Linked DNA regions of Ovis aries. The protein of the gene in region 1 interacts with the protein of each later gene in a biochemical or structural test. Links are inferred from orthologs where the notes say so. Each region holds a gene or a part of one and is shown on either strand. Other genes may lie near its edges.

Region 1 (3,819 bases):
AGTCCTAGAGATCAATTCAAAAAAACAAAGAGAAACAAAAACATATTCATCAAAGACTTGTTTTTCATTATTCACTACAGGCAAAAAGGAGAAACAATCCAAATATCCAAAAACTGTGTGTTAAACAAACTGTAATATTCTTATACATTCATGTACAATGGAAGACTATCAGGTAATAAACAGGAGTAAATGGGGACCCTAATCTGTTGCCATGGGAACTAGAGGCGGGCATCATATTGATACCTGCAGAGATGGGCCTGCTCCACTGCCCCAGCATGCCTCGGTGTTTGGTACCCAAACCAGGAAACAAGTGAGTCCTTCCATTCTCTACTCTAGCCCTCCAAGGTCTCAGTCCCAGAAGGCCTTGAGAGCCTCTTCGCCCCATACTGGTTCAGTGACTGTTTGCCCTGACCACCCCACACACAGCACCCCACCCACTGGACACCATTGCCCTGGAGACTGCCCCTGGCTCCTCTAGAGAGCTTACCTGGATCTGGATTGAGCTTCACCACGAAGGAGCTGGAGTTGGGAGTCATTTTAGAAGCATCTTCTGGGGTGAGGGGGATGTCCCCTCCAAGAAGCATGGTCCTGGCACCAGGGCTTGCTGGGGAGGTCAGGGTGGGCTTGGCCTGGGGGATGGCGCCACTGGGAAAGAAGCCAGAGATGGGACTGGCAATTCTTCTGATGGTGCAGGGGGAATCTGTGCTCAGGGGCAGCCGTTTCTATAGAGAAGGGGCCCCCAGACTCTGCCCACAGCCTCTGGCAGGCCCTCTGGCAGATCCTGGGAGCAAGAGCTGTGTTTTCTTGTCCTTCTGGGTCTCCTGTGTGCTCCGGGAAGGCTGGGCACACAGTAGGGCCTCAATGACCTTTCTGCTCAGCAGAGAGGCCCCCTGGAGCCCTGACACCCTGGACTGACCCCCATCCACATCCCCAGCCCACAATGCCCTGGGTCTCCTATCAGGTGGGACAGCCCCACACAGGGGTCAGCTGGATAGTGTGAGGCTGAGAGTCACCTGGTGGGGCCCTTGCAGTCCTGTGGGCTGGCGCTGCAGTTGTGGCTGGCCCTTGGGGAAGCTGGTTCACAGACGGTGTCCCTCTGTGCTGTGCCTGCAGGGAGGACAGCGATGCCTTCAGCTTTGGTGCTGAGGAGCCAGAGACTCCAGGAGCAGACCTCTTGCCACCACAACCCAGGAAAACACAGCGGCCATCTGATCTTTGTGCCTGCCCAGCATCCGTTCACCTTCGGGGTAAAGTAGCCCAGTTTTCCCGGGAGAATTACACCTTCCACATTCAGTATCTGTGGTAAGGAGCTGGAACAGACTGACCACCCCACTCCCACTTCCAGGAATAGCCATGGGACGGGCTGCACCAATCAATCCATCCCATTCCTGTGGCCATGATGGACTGGCTCAGGAGTGGGCACATGACCCAAACCATGTCTATGAGAAGCAACTTCAAGGTTTTGTTTTTGTTGTTGAGAATATAGGAAGGAGAAACAGATTTTCCACTGGAGTTGAGTAGGAAGCAAGTCTGGAGCTGCTGGTAGATATTTTACAGGAAAAGCAACACACAGTGGGGTAGAGATGAGAGACGGAGAAAAGACAGAGCTCCTGGATCCAGCCACACCTGAAGTTCCACAAAGAAAATTTTCAATTACGTGAACCAAATAATTTGTGACCTCCAAACCAAAGAGTTCTGAAGAATACTGGGTGGAAGCAAAGTGGAGAAGAAACCATAGTGCTTTCAATCAAGTGGACCTGAGTTTGAACCTTTTGGTGGAAGTGGCTATGAGCGAGTCTGACTCATCTCATCTACCTGCACTGTGGTGGGGTGACAAGACTTGAGCATAAGGTTCAAACACTGGATTAGATATTCCCTGCTCTGTGATCTTAAGCAATTTACCTGCCATCTCTGAACCTCAGTTTCCTCACTTGTAAAATGGGGCTAATACAGCCTTATGGAGTCTGGAAAATTTCAGAGGAGAAAGTCAGTGCAAGGTCTTAGGGTAAGACTTAGCTATAAGCTTCACCTAAGGCAGAAAGTACTTTCCATTCTATAGCTGGAGAGACTGAGGCCCTGAGAGTTGCTCGGTGGGAACTCTCACAGAGGAATCGAGCCAGGGTTTGGCAGCCAAAGGATGGAGTGCTTTACAAGCAGTGCTAGCCAATAAAATATGTGGATCACAAGTCACTTTGTTAAATTTTCCAGTAGCCACATTTTGGATAGTAAAGAACAAACAAGTGAAATTAAGCAATACATTTAACCCAATATATCTAAAATATGAACTTTCCCGATGGCTCGGCAGATAAAAAATCTGCCTGCTAATACAGGAGATGCAGGTTTGATCCCTGCATCAGGAAGATCCCCTCGAGGAGGAAATGGGAACCTGTTCCAGTATTCTTGCTTGAAAAATCCCACGGACAGAGGAGCCTGGAGGGCTGCAGTCCAAAGGGTCACAGAGAGTCAGACACAAATTATGTTAGTAGATAATCAACATAAACCAGTTAATCCTAAAGGAAATCAACCCTGAATATTCACTGGAAGGACTGATGCTGAAGCTGAAGCTCTAATACTTTGGCCACCTGATGTGAAGAGCCAACTCATTGGAAAAGACCTTGATGCTGGGAAAGACTGAGGGCGGGAGAAGAGGGCAGATGATATGGTTGGATGGCATCATCGACACAATGGACATGTGTTTGAGCAGACTCTGGGAGATAGTGAAGGACAGGGAAGCCTGGCGTGCTGCAGTCTATGGGGTCGCAAAGATTCCGACTAACTGAGACTGAACAACAAATTCTACATAAGAAATAACAAAATGCATACTTTCTGTGTACTAAGTATTTGAAATCCAGCGCATATTCTATACTGACAGCCCATCTCAAGTGACTGGCCACATTTTAAGTGCTCAATGACCACAGATGGCCAGTGATACAGCTTTAGGCAGCGGTCTGGGGGGCAGGAAAGAGAGGCCTCTGGCGCCACCGTGTGGCAGATGCAGGAATGCCGTCGAGAGAGCCAGAGCTGGTCCACAGGTAGCAGCAATAGAACTCACAGCTGCTTTTCTTAGAGAAGAGCTTCTAAGCAAGAAAAGCCCCCATGTAAGGCCTTCCAGTTACACTTGCTCATTTACAGAAGGTGAGACCGAGGCCAAGAAACGGCTGGGAACACACCCCACAGATGCAAAGCTGTACAAAATCCCAGGTATCTGATACCCAGTTCAGAACCCTTTCCCAGGTAGCACTAGTTGTCATTGCAGAAGACACAGGAGATGCAGGTTCAGTCCCTGGGTTGGGAAGATCCCCTGGAGAAGGGAACAGCTCCCCACTCCAGTATTCTTGTCTGAAGAATCCCACGGACAGAGGAGCCTGGGAGGCTACAGTCCATAGGGTCGCACAGAGTCGGACAGGACGGAAGTGACTTAGCATGCATATATGCACCTCGCCTGCCTGCAGCTGGCAGGCTTCTGAGGATCCGTCTACTGAGGGTTCTGCGTGAGCAGGGCGAATCCAACCAGATTTGAACTCTACCCGCCCCCAGCTCTGATCTCCCGGTCACATCAGTCGACAGACATCTCTGAGGAGCAGATATTGCGCCTCGCGGGGAGATGACTGTGAATGTGCTGGGCATGGTCCTGGCCCTCACGAAGCTATGGGGAGAGAGGAGACGAGCACTGACCACACTGAGACAGAGACCAGCATTCGCATCCGTGTTGGGAAGGAGGCGTGATCTGTGAGAGGTCAGGAGGTGATGTCTGAATGGACAGCTGAAGGCAGAGTTGAGTTCACTGGGTGAACAGGGAAGGAAGGATATTCCAGAAAG
Region 2 (3,589 bases), on another chromosome or scaffold:
GTGAATGCATTTAAAATATTCTGATTTCTTAAATTCCACAATGACATAAACCTTGTCTTTTCTCCCAGCCAAGGAAGCTCCATATAGCAGGCTCCCTGCTTAGGTCTCTATGATCTTATATCCTTTTAAAATTGAATGCTAGGATGTGTTTACCTCCTGTCTGGCAAAATGGCCTTGAGGAGGAAGCCTGGTCTCTGAAATCAGATAGACATGGGAGTGGATATCAGGGTTTCCTCCAACTTGCAGTGACCTTGTATTGCTGATCATGTCTGGACATCAGGGTGAGCCTTGCAGAGCTATTCTGAGCATTCAGTCAGCTGGAATACACAGACATGCACCCTTAAAGGAAGGATGGCGATAATTCCTAGCAGCCTCAGTGTGCTGTCCACACTGCCTGGCTGAGTGACATAGGACAGCGCACTGAATTTGCCTAGTGCCCATGCTCCTTTCCATCTCTCAAAGGGGCTTAGCCAGCCCTCTCTCACAGAGCTGTTGCAGAGATCCAGTGAGGTGGAGTACATGAAGCGACAAGAATGGCACCAGGTACATACAGGAACTCAGGCCCTGTTGGTTTCCTTCCTCCAACTTCCACAATCTTTTGTAAAAGTCCATGTGGAAGCAATCAAGTTTAAAGAAAAAAAACTCCTAAGGTACTTGATGGCAAAATGAGAAATAAACAGGTTTTCCTTTTATCCCCCAAATGGAAACAGAATAGTAACTGTCTCCATCAAAGGGTCATGGGAAAAGATCTGGTGTCTCCAGTTACCAGAGCAGAGACAGGCATTTAACATGTGGTCTTACTTTTAGGGAATTGCTCAGAGGACATCTCATGTATCCTGAAAAGAGCTCCATTCAAGAAATCATGGGCCTACCTCCAAGGTCAGTAACCAACACCAGGAACCCCAACCATATGAGGGTCACTCCTATGGCCAGAGGTCACAAGCAGAGGCTCACGGGCAAATGTGACCTGCATGTGTATTTTGTTTAACCTGTGTGATAATTTTTATAATTTGAATTTAAATGGCTTGGGGGAGAGGGGAGAGCATTACTCTCAAAAGCGGCAAGATTCCTGCTTCCTAAGCCTCATCCACTCCTTGAAGTTTGCCTCCCTGGCCTGTGGGGGAATCGGTGCTCCACCCCCACCCCTCTTCATTCACCTACTGGCTGCAGGCCAAGGGTACTGTCCTTTCCCTCGTACGTGGGAAGCAGGCTCTTAATCTCTGCCTCTATCAAGTCATTCACAAGAGAGTCACAAAACTTCCTGGTGTCCAGACTGATAGCTTGATGACCATGTTGGCACAGGCCCCATTTGCGTATTGCAGCATGCTTCAGGTAAGAGGTCCCTTAGAGACGAAATAATAAGAGGCATTTATGCTAGGAAAGATGAGGTACAGAGGAGATGGCCAAGATTCTCTGCAATAGCCATCCTGCTCATTTTCAAAATTCAATTTTGCAGTTAGATTAGTTCTCATTCTTCAGTTGAATTGCAATGAGGTTTAAAGGGAAGCAATTAAAATGAACACACCAGCTTCCCAATTCTGAAAGACACCTGGACCCATCAGGGCTGATTTTAACTTGTCAGTGAAAAGACTCAGACTTGGCTTCTGACACCAACATGTCTGTTTAGAGGGCCTGCTAATTCTCTGCTCCTCTATAAATCCCAGCTGGGAGGAATCCCTTAATGTGAACTTATTCTATACAATGATGTCTGGCTGCCCTTTTAAAGAGAGGAAGACATTTAAAACTTCAGAAAATGAATAGTTAAGGGGCACATCTGAATGTGAAAGAACAGACTGAGGTTCTCCTAGACTTCTTGATGCCTGAATTGCTTACTAACTGAACCAAACTGAATGCTTTTTCTCTGATATTTTGTGCAGTGCTTACCCAATAGCAGTCCCCTGTTGATCAAATGTTCATTGATTGATTGAATATATGTCCATGATAGCCCAAAACTTATAAGGAATACAGTCCAGGAACTTATAGTCTGAAAAGGGAACAGTAGAACTTATAATAATAATAACAGGATGATAAAATGATTAAGTGGAAAACAGTTACCTCTGCAGGGGGTAAAGGTCTAGGACTGTGTGTTTTCTGACCCTCCAGCTTTATGCTTTACAAAAGCAGAGGGATGGTTTTGTACCTGTACCTTGAACACTCAGCAGTGCCTAGCAGTGACATAATATCTGGAAGATATTCCAGATGGCTGAACCAGCGGAAAATATTACAGAAAACACGGGGCTTGAATGGGGAACCTTGAATAAAGATTTCAAATTTTCCAATCTGCATCCGAAATTTGCCTAATGACTCTGAGGTCCTTTTGTCTTTCTCCTTCCAGTGTCAAAGCATATAAACAAAACCAAGTTGTCTTGGAACAAAGATGGCATCATCCATGGAGTCAGATATCAGGATGAGAACCTGGTGATCCAGTTCCCAGGTTGGTACTTCATCATCTGCCAACTGCAGTTTCTTGTGAAATGCCCAGAGCATTCCGTCGACCTGAAGCTGGAGCTCCTCATCAACAAAGACGTTAAAAAGCAGACCCTGGTGACAGTGTGTGAGTCTGGAGCACAAGCCAAAAACATATACCAGAACCTCTCCCAGTTCTTGTTGGAACACCTCCAGGTCAACACCACCATATCAGTCAAGGTGGATAAATTCCAGTATGTGGATACAAACACCTTTCCCCTTGAGAATGTGTTGTCCATCTTCTTATACAGTAGTTCAGACTGAACCACCCCTCCTGGCCTTTGGGAAGAAAGCAACTCCCTACCACACAGCACTTATCCTTCCAGACACTTGGGGGAAAAAAAGAAAACTTTAGGCCAAGACTGAAAAACACAAAGGGAATTAAATAGTACACTTCCATCCCCTGGGAAGATCCAACTCAGGGTTAAAAAGAGACTTCTGAGTGAAGTATCTTCCAGATAGAAGGCGGGGACTCAATGTGGCCTGGCGGACAGAGCCACACACGGGAACCAGAAGGGATGGATTTAGGCCCAGCCCAATCACTAACTCACTGTGTGACCTGGAGCTAGTCCTCTCCCTTCCCTGGAACTTGGATTTCATGTCAGAAAAGCCAAGCCTCTCTCATCACATACCTGAGAACTAAGGTTCCAGGCGCTGTTCCCGAAGCCCCCAGCCAGAGGAAAGGCCCCCACATTGGCATAAAACTGATGGTACTTACTGGCTGCCGTGTCACCTCAGCAGAGTCAGGATTTGGGGACGAGGTTCAGGGCACCTTGCTTGGCAAATGGAGTGAACAGTAGGATCTAAAGTGTGCGAAACTGACCATCCTGAATCTAATACCTTGTGGGTATTTGGAAAACCACCCGGCCAGGCTTGACTCTGCCGGAACTGAGACTGACAATAAGGCAACAGACAGCTTTTGTTTCCCGTCAGGAAAGTGCCGCGAGTTCGGCAAGCACTCAGCGCGCAGCCGTCAAGGTGATCAGCCGTTTGGTAAGAGCGGCTGCTGTCTCCCACATGAACTCTTTCCCCACTTCAAACAGCTCACAGGAAACCATTCTGTGGAGGGTTTTTAAGGCCTCACTGTGTTGTTGACAGACAATGATAACTCTGAAAATGGTGA

The links.
Region 2: the proteins of TNFRSF8 (region 1) and TNFSF8 form a complex in vitro, tested with the Homo sapiens proteins (2 studies listed by BioGRID and IntAct). The link is inferred for Ovis aries from reciprocal best matches to the Homo sapiens genes TNFRSF8 and TNFSF8.

The regions. Positions count from the first base shown.
Region 1 is NC_056065.1:40,856,406-40,860,224, forward strand, and holds part of TNFRSF8 (tumor necrosis factor receptor superfamily member 8), read right to left. Parts: intron 1,108-3,819; coding exon 1,014-1,107; intron 646-1,013; coding exon 488-645; intron 1-487. UniProt on the Homo sapiens protein: Receptor for TNFSF8/CD30L. May play a role in the regulation of cellular growth and transformation of activated lymphoblasts. Regulates gene expression through activation of NF-kappa-B.
Region 2 is NC_056055.1:8,880,602-8,884,190, forward strand, and holds part of TNFSF8 (tumor necrosis factor ligand superfamily member 8), read left to right. Parts: intron 1-807; coding exon 808-879; intron 880-2,335; coding exon 2,336-2,730; 3' UTR 2,731-3,589.